2 linked regions of the Ovis aries genome follow. Each later gene encodes a partner of the first gene's protein in a complex. Links are inferred from orthologs where the notes say so. Each region holds a gene or a part of one and is shown on either strand. Other genes may lie near its edges.

Evidence for each region.
Region 2: the proteins of ELANE (region 1) and antileukoproteinase-like are in contact, whole or in part, in a crystal structure (PDB 2Z7F), measured with the Homo sapiens proteins. The link is inferred for Ovis aries from reciprocal best matches to the Homo sapiens genes ELANE and SLPI. Residues at the interface, in NP_001963.1 of Homo sapiens: His53, Phe54, Cys55, His70, Cys71, Asn74, Val75, Pro111, Val112, Asn113, Leu114, Leu158, Ile165, Leu180, Arg182, Val197, Cys198, Phe199, Gly200, Asp201, Ser202, Ala216, Ser217, Phe218, Val219, Arg220, Gly221; in NP_003055.1 of Homo sapiens: Tyr93, Gly94, Gln95, Cys96, Leu97, Met98, Leu99, Pro102, Phe104, Met121, Cys122.

The regions. Positions count from the first base shown.
Region 1 is NC_056058.1:41,086,158-41,090,553, forward strand, and holds ELANE (neutrophil elastase), read left to right. Parts: upstream 1-1,414; 5' UTR 1,415-1,440; coding exon 1,441-1,507; intron 1,508-1,815; coding exon 1,816-1,972; intron 1,973-2,159; coding exon 2,160-2,301; intron 2,302-3,113; coding exon 3,114-3,344; intron 3,345-3,499; coding exon 3,500-3,706; 3' UTR 3,707-3,811; downstream 3,812-4,396. UniProt on the Homo sapiens protein: Serine protease that modifies the functions of natural killer cells, monocytes and granulocytes. Inhibits C5a-dependent neutrophil enzyme release and chemotaxis. Promotes cleavage of GSDMB, thereby inhibiting pyroptosis. Promotes blood coagulation.
Region 2 is NC_056066.1:73,487,001-73,491,512, forward strand, and holds antileukoproteinase-like, read left to right. Parts: upstream 1-1,461; 5' UTR 1,462-1,594; coding exon 1,595-1,709; intron 1,710-2,552; coding exon 2,553-2,714; intron 2,715-3,135; coding exon 3,136-3,279; intron 3,280-4,036; coding exon 4,037-4,065; 3' UTR 4,066-4,293; downstream 4,294-4,512.

The sequences.
Region 1 (4,396 bases):
CCACCTCTTCCTCAGATGGATCCGTTGGTTCCCGCCCCAAGCCTTGCTCCAAGCCAGGAGAACGTTGCTTCTTGCGACAGCCTTGGCTACAGCCGTTGCAGCTGGAGCAGCTGGGGTGAGGAGTTGGGTGGGGGGAGGAGAACGGGCACCATGGGGCTGGGGATTGGCCCTGGGGGACTCTATCTCCCTTGTCCAGCTTGAGCTCTTCCAAGGTCCATACCAAAGCTCTCAAACTTGGATGGAGATCCATGGTCCAGCCTCCAGGCCCAGGAGGGAATTCTCTCCTCTGGCTCCGGCTGGAAGGGGTTTCAGAGTTCAGAGGGGCAAGGGTGGGATGGTTTGGGAGGGGTTCCTTCCCAGAACCTCGGAGGGCCCCCAGAGACTGACTGAATCCTGGGTAGGAGTGAGTTCCTTGTTAGAAGGAGCAACCAAAGACAGGTTGGAAGTCCAGGCTCCCAGAGGGACATTCAAAGCCGAGGAAGTCAGCAAGCCCTCCTCTAGCTGTGAATTTTGGATTCAAAGCCCAGGTCCCCCAACCATGTCACTGGGCAGGTGGCTGATATGGAGACCCTGCCATGCCTGCAAAATATTAGGACAGAGCTGGGTGCACATGATTGCTGTTATCAGAGAGCCCTGGTGAAACTGAGGCACGTGGCATCCCAAACAATTCCTCTGGGCCAGAGTGACCAGTATTCTTGCCTGGAGAATCCCATGGACAGAGGAGCCTGGCAGGCTACAGTCCATGGGGTCGCCAAGAGTTGGACACAACTGAGCAACTTAGCATGCATGCATGTATGACCACATTTAGCAAAAATACAGGATGTCCTGCTAACTCTGAATGTCAGATAAACTAACTTTGTACATAACTACATGTAAGGAATATTGGCTTCCCTAGTGGCTCAGGTTGTAAAGAATTTGCCTGCAGTGCAGGAGACCCAGGTTCGATCCCTGAGTCAGGAAGATCCCCTGGAGAAGGAAATGGCAACCCTCTCCAGGATTATTGCCTGGAAAATTCCAGGGACAGAGGAGCCTGGGGGGCTATAGTTCATGGGATTGCAGAGTCAGACACAACTGTGCGACTAACTTTCACTTCACTTACACAGGACACCCTGCTAACTTTGAATGTTGGATAAACTTTGTTCATAACTACATCCCATGCTTATATGTGGGATACACTTATGTTAAAAAGATGTCTATCTGACATTAGGGTTTAATCATGCACCCTGAGTTTGAACTGGTGACCCTCCTGGTCACTTGCACAGTTCCTTCCCCAACTGTTCTTCCCATCACCCAGTCGGCGGTCCCCCATCCCCTGGATGGGGAGAGGAAGTAGGGGCACCTGGCCCCGCCGTGGGGCAACTGCAACTGCCTCTCGGTGTGGGGACTATAAGAGGGACAGGTGGGCACAGAGGGCAGAAACCCTGGAGCCCCCAACCGACCATGACCCAAAGCTGCAGACACTTCAGCCCTGCCCTGGCCCCCATCCTGCTGGCCCTGCTGCTGGGGGGTGAGTGGGGTCGAGTCTGTCCCTGGTCTTCTGCTCCCCCTCTCCACTCACCCTGGACCCTGCCGCACCCCCCAACCTCATGGGATGAGGAGACTGAGGTTCTGAGTGGTGAGGGTGAAGGGGGGGTACACCCTGCACCCTGTGGGGACTTCAGGTCTGGCTGCGCCGGGGCAGGAGGACCGTACACGCCCCCTCCCCTCTCTGGGTGACAAGCAATAGAAGGGCCCAACCCTGCGGGGTCCTGCTGGGGGTTCCAGGGGTCGGGGGTTCCTCCTCTGCTTACCGCCCCACCCCGCCCGTGCCCCCAGGCCCCGCGCTGGCCTCGGAGATCGTGGGGGGCCGGGCGGCCCGGCCGCACGCCTGGCCCTTCATAGCTTCGCTGCAGCTGCGCGGAGGCCACTTCTGCGGTGCCACCCTCATCGCGCGCAACTTCGTGCTGTCGGCAGCGCATTGTCTGAACGGCGTGTGAGTGTCTCCGCGGGCGCACACATCGAGGGTCCCTGCGCGAGGGGCGTGGGGCCGGCCCAGGGTGGGGGCTTCCGGCAAAAGCGCGAGGGTTTGCAGGGTCCCCCTGCGCCCCAGCGGGGTCTCTCCGCCGCTTCCGATCCCGGGGACCCCCCCCCCATCACCTCCTGTCCGCCCGCGACCCCAGGAACTTTCGATCGGTGCGCGTGGTGCTGGGGGCGCATAATCTGCGGCGGCGGGAGCGAACCCGGCAGATGTTCAGGGTCCAGAGGGTCTTTGAAAACGGCTTCGACCCCTTGAACCTGCAGAACGACGTCGTGGTTCTCCAGGTGCGCGGGGGGCAGGGCGGGCAGGGCAGGTGCAGCGTCCTGAGAGGCTTGGGGAGGGGGGAGGGGCAGGAGACTGGGGGGTGCGGCGGGCGGGGGGCAGACCTGATGTCCCCCCTAATCCTGGTGCTTTAGTCACCCCGCTGTGAAATGGAGAAGTACACCCCCGCATCCCGCAGCGCTGCCAGAGATTAGATAAGACAGCCAGAAGCTCTGAGCAGCTGTCTTTCCTGGCAGTGGGCACTGACGGCCTCCCTCTTTGGGAAATGGGGCAAAACTACCTACATTCGGCGGGTGGGAGTCTGGAGGCAGAAACCTACCTTTCCCCTCTGCTTGCACAGCTATGATTATTCTCTGAGAATGTTCTAGAACAAGGGCTTTATGGTCGTTGGTGTAGCCCACGGTATGTTCTGTTGGACACCTACTGTTTACTGCACTCAAGACACATTCAGGGACTTCCCTGGTGGTCCAGGGGCTAAGACTCTGCACTCCCAAATTCAGGGGACCCAGGTTCAATCCCTGGTTGGGAAACTAGATCCCGCATGCTGCAACTAAGACCCCATGCAGCCAAACAAATAAATAAATAAATATAAAAGACATGTCCAGAGACGTGGCCTCAGCCATAGTGGTTCCTTCCACTTTACAGACGGGGAAAGTGAGGCTCGATGGGAGGCATGAAGAGGGTGCGCATCCTGCTCTTAAACACCCCAGGACAATGGTAGAGCCTCAGCAGGGGAACCTGGCCCCAGAGTCACAGCCGTGGCTCGCCACCCCTCTCCCGTGACTGCTTCATACCCCACCACCCTCCTCTGCAGCTCAACAGGATGGCCACCCTCAACGCCAACGTGCAGGTGGCCCAGTTGCCTGCCCAGGACCAGGGCGTGGGCGAAGGTGTGCAGTGCGTGGCCATGGGCTGGGGCCGGCTGGGCACGAACCGGCCACCGCCCCAAATCCTGCAGCAGCTCAACGTGACCGTGGTGACTGGTCTCTGCCGCCCCACCAACGTGTGCACCCTGGTGCCACGCCGGCGTGCTGGCATCTGCTTTGTAAGTACCCTGGGTGCCCCCAGACCCCACCCCACCCCCTCCCAGGCTGCTGCAGCCAGACCTCTGGAATATCTTCCCCACCCTGAAGGGCAGGTAGGTGGAGCTGAGAGGGCTGGGCCGGGAACCCTAGCCCCCCAATTTGTCTGGCTCCACAGGGGGACTCCGGCGGGCCCCTGGTCTGCAACGGGCTGGTCCATGGGATCGATTCCTTCATCCGTGGGGGTTGCGGCTCCGGGGTCTTCCCAGACTCCTTTGCCTCTGTTGCCAAGTTTGCCAACTGGATCAACTCTATCATCCGGCGCTACAATGACGACGATGGCCCCTCTCTCCACCCCAGGGACCCCACGGGCAGGACCGACTAGAAAGGCTGTACCTGTCATGCCCCCTCACCTGCCCCTGGCTGGGCCCTTCCCATGAAGCATCACTCAGCAGCTGGCACAATAAAAACCTCTCTCTGTTTTGTAGAAGGTGTCTGTGTGTTTGTTGGTTGTACAACTGAGTTGAAAAGTCCTCAGGAGAAGGTCTTGGGTGTGTCATGAGTATGCTGCCACCAGGTGGTGGCTGATTCAGGGCCCTGGGGTAAGAAGTCCCTTCCCTACCTTCCACAAAAGGATCCCAGTTGCTATTTCTTGGATGGAGGAGCCTGGTAGGCTGCAGTCCATGGGGTCACTAGGAGTCGGACACAACTGACAGATTTCACTTTCTCTTTTCCCTTTCATGCACTGGAGAAGGAAATTGCAACCCACTCCAGTGTTCTTGCCTGGAGAATCCCAGGGACGGGAGAGCCGGGTGGGCTGCGGTCTATGGAGTCGCACAGAGTCGGACACGACTGAAGTGACTTAGCAGCAGCAGCAAACATAATTAAACCAGTGCTGCAGGTGGTCATAATGCAGAGCACTACAGCAGGTGTTCACACGTGCTTACAAGCACAGACATCATTCTGCTGCTGCTGCTAAGTCACTTCAGTCGTGTCCGACTCTGTGCGACCCCATAGATGGCAGCCCACCAGGCTCCTCCGTCCATAGGATTTTCCAGGCAAGAGTACTGGAGTG
Region 2 (4,512 bases), on another chromosome or scaffold:
TTCCGTTTTTTTTCTTTTTTCTTTTTTTCTTTTTGAAGTAGCAAATGTGCAATGCTTTCTTAAAATTTTTGTGTCGATGTAGAGTTGATATAAAATATTATATGTTACAGGCATATTATATAGTGACTGACATTTTAAGGGTTATACTCCATTTATAGTTATAGTAAAATATTGGCTCTATCCCTCAGGTTGTGCAATATATCCTTGCAGCTTATTTTATACATAATAGTTTGTACCTCTTAGTCCCCCTGGGTTTCCTGGTGGCACTAATGGCAAAGAATTTGCCTGCCCTTGCAGGAGATGAAAGAGACACAGATTTGATTCCTGGGTTGGGAAGATCCTTTGAACAAGGGTATGGCAACCCACTCCCATATTCTTGCCTGGAGAATCCTATAGATAGATGGAGCCTAGCGGGCTACAGTCTACAGGTTACAAAGAGTCAGACACAACTGAAATGACTTAGCACGCACACTTAGTCCCCTACCCCTGTATTGTCCCTCCCAGCTTCCTTCTCCCCACATAACCTCTAGTTTGTTCTGGCACTCAGGTCTCACTCTGGGATTTTCTGTCACCATCATCATGAGGACTCTCTTATTTTCCTTTCCTACATTCTACTTTGTGTATTTCATGCATTTTTTTTCTTGGTTTCACCTTAAGAGGATTTCTTTTGCTATTTAGAATTGTTTAAACTTCTCATCATGTAGCCAGTGTACAATAAATGTCCATTATGATCATGCAAGACCAGTGAGGATGACTCTGGGGTGTGAGAGGATTTTTTTGAGCATATGAAATGACATACCTGTTTCAACTGGCTCTTCAACTGACTGCTAAGAAGAGCCCCATCGGTTTATCTCAGGAAACAGGGCTCCAACGTGATTGACTTTGCATCAGTCTCACTCCCATTCTGCTAACAGGTAGTGTGTTCATTCTTCTTCAACTTCCTTCCACTCTTTTGAACTCAAGTTCCCCCTCTGTGATCTAGTCCGTTACTATTATCCCGACTTCACAACTGAGAAAGCTGAAGACCCAAGAGGTTTTCCTTGCTGTCCCCTCTCCACCTGTCATTCAGCAGATTCTCTGTGTGACTGGCACTGCAATTATATGTGGTAGTAAGCCAGGAGAGAATGAGAAAAAATGTCACCTGCCTTTTAGGGAAGGGAGTGACCCTGGGTAATGTGGTAACAAATGTGGCAATCCTCCAGAGCCCTGGAGTGTGGGAAAGTCATGGCATTTTCAGAGACCATGGTTCCAGATTTCTAACAAGTTCCTTTGTAATGTCCCGTTTGGCCCTCTTTGCCCCTCCCCGACTCCTCCCCAAGGAGGGTGATTCAGGGTCCCCTAACATGTTCCCAAGCGGCTTTCTGACACCACCCCCTCCAAGTCCTTCATTCCCCTTCCTAGTCCTCACGCTCTTGCCTAAGGGCAGGAAAGAGCCAGCAACACTGGATGGCGTGGTCACTGTCCTCACCTGAATTTCCTGCTGAGGAAATAGCAGCTGAGAGAACTCAGGGCAGTTCCGGTGGGAGCACACCCATCAGAGCGGGTATAAAGGGTGAGGCTGACACTGGTCACCACCGCCCCGCCTGCCCTCAAGATGAAGTCCAGCAGCCTTATCATCCTCCTGGTGATATTTGCCTTCGGATTCCTGATGCCCTGGACTGTGGAAGGTGCTCCCAAACGTGAGCTGGACTTTCTCAGGCCATACCCAGGTACCAAAGTCAATGATGGCTCAGCGTGGGAATAATCTCTTCTTTTTCGCCTGGGGGCTGGTCTTGAAGCCCTCTTTCCAATGGCCTATGGTCCTTAATTTCAAGCATGTCTCTGAGGACTTCAACTAAGAGAGTTTCTGTGCATCCAGAGATAAGCCCTTGTATTTCTTATTTTTCTTTCTCTATATCTCCTTCTTTACTGTTTTTTCTTTTTTCTCTGTCACATTATTTTGGTCACTATCTGTTTTAATTTTCCAAATTGTTCTCTGTTTCTCTTAATTTTGTTGTTGTTGTTGTTAATGGTCACTATTTTTTTCTATTTGCTTCTCAGTTGATCTGTTCTCTTTTGTTTAATCTCAAATGAGTGGCCTCTCTTGCTGTCACTGTCTCTGCCTCCCTCCCAGCCAGCCCTGGGCCAGGGATACCTGGCCATGAACTCTGTTCAGCCCTCCCTGGAGCTGACTTATACAGACATGCCGTAGCTGACTGTGAAATCTTCAAGACTTCTGTGAGGTAGTAGATGTCACATTGGTAGCTTGAAATAAGGAACAGTGGGAATATTTACACCAGGGAAACTGGCAAACTCCACAAAGTCTCCCTCTTGAAAGATTTAGTGGCACACCGCCATCTATACCTTCTCTCCCGTTGACTCCCTCTTGGTTGAGGGTTTGGCTGAGCTTGCCACTGTCCCACATCGGCCTTGAAACTGGAATCCTAATGGCTCCCTTCATTCCTTTGAGGTCAGCTACTTGGGTTAGGCTTTCTCTCCTCACCTGGTTCCTTCTGGAGGATTGTGATCTTGACTCAGTGCCAGCTTCTTCCTCCTTTGTTCTTACCCTTCAGAAAAAGGCAAACCTGGAGCCTGTCCTTTCGTCCGCCCTGTGCTGTGCTTTGTATATGAACCGCCTGAGTGCCAGAGTGACTGGCAGTGTCCGAAGAGGCAGAAATGCTGCCAGGGTCTTTGTGGCATCAAATGCACGGATCCTGTAGACACGTCAAAGCCAGGTGAGGAAGTCCAGTCCTGGAAAGGGGGATCAGGGAGGTCTGAGCTTGAGGACATGCTTCTTGGGCAAGTGGAGGGGGCTCGTCTGAACTGGGGTGCAGGATGGGATAGAGTCAGGGCTTCTCCACCCCTTCTACCCGCTCTGTTTTCTCAGGTAGACAGTAGGCCAGCTGGTGAGCCTGTCAGCCAGCAGGTCAGTCAGTTCATGAATAGTCTGTCTATCAGACACACGTATGTCAGACACTAGTTGGGGTCCCGTTGGTGGGAGGGAGTCTTCTTTAGGACACGCACCAGCCTCAGATTGGATCCTGAAGGTAGGGAAGAACCAGTTTCCACGCATGGGGTGAAGATGGAGTTGGGAATTTGGGTGATGTGCCAAGGGGCGAAGCCTCTGAATTGTGACTTTGTTTTCATCACTTAAAGTCACTCCTGGGAAGTGTCCGGTGGTCACTGGCCACTGTGAGAGGCCCAACCCTGTAAACATCTGCCAGGATGACAGCCACTGCCTGAATGGTTTCAAGTGCTGCAGGGGTCCGTGTGGGAATTCATGTGTCCTGCCGGTGAAAGGTGAGGAGAAGATCTAGCAAGCTCCGCATCCCCCTGGACCTTAATATGCTCTCAACCTAATGGTACCTTTGTATGTGAAAGAGGTTGCTTGACATCTTCCAGTACTTCCCCATTCCCTAAGCAGATGCTCTGCGCTTCAGTGACCTTTACCCCTTAGATTTCTCTAGACAAGTCCCAGGAGGCACCTATGACAGGCCGTGCTGGGTCCTAGGAAGGAAAGCTTCTTGGAATAAGGCAGGAGGAAGGAGAGTGATACAAGAGGCAAAAGTTCTATCTTTGAATATCATCTCTGCCTCTGACTGACTATGTGACTATGAGCAACTGACTATTTCATCCTCCACCTCAGTTTCCCCATCTGTAAAATGGACACAATTATATCCATAGCGATACTAAATGTAAAAGTGATTTTTAAGACTTGAAGTACTATTTGCATTCAGAGAATTTTGCTATGGTTATGGCCTCGATTGGCTGAGTTATCTTGAACCACAGGGGAACTCTAGCAAGATGCATAGATGTCAATCTAGCCCAATACCCTGATTTTATCAGAGGGCATCAGAGAAGAGCCTGTGAAAAGCCTGGATTTTGTCTTGATTCCTACATCAAAGGCCAGCACTGTTTCAATGATTCCAGCACAATGCTCTCTACCTATCCCAAGGGACCTAGGACTTGGTGGTGGAAGGACCATCTTGGTGGGACAGATATAAGGGTCACTTAAATAATTCCTGTGCTGAAGCTCCACTTTATTTTCTTTCTACAGATTCATCCTTTCCAGGTCAAAAACATTAGGACTTCCTGGTCTGTGTGCTCTGGGGATTCCCCCTACTCCCCACCCTGCAAGCCTGGAAAACAATGAAAGCACCTTGGTCAAGATGTGGTTTTGTGACCAATACTCCTTTGGGGACAAGATCTGGCCTGTTTTATCTATGTATCCCCAGCATCCAATGTGAAGCTTGGCACACGACAGGAAATGCCTATTGATCAGTGAATAAATAAATGTACTAGGTTTTCTCTGCATTTCCATCTTCCTTGACTCTTTTGAATGTGGACTAGGGTATGAGGAGTGAGATGAAGAATAAAATGTCTGAATGTGCGGGGTTTCTCCAAAAACCCATAAAATAGCAATCGGAAGAAGAGAGTGTTTTGGTTCCAAGCAGATACAGGTTTAAATCTTACATTCATAGATTACAGGTTCTGTAGATTTGGGCAATGAGTTTGTTCCATTGACCCTTAGTC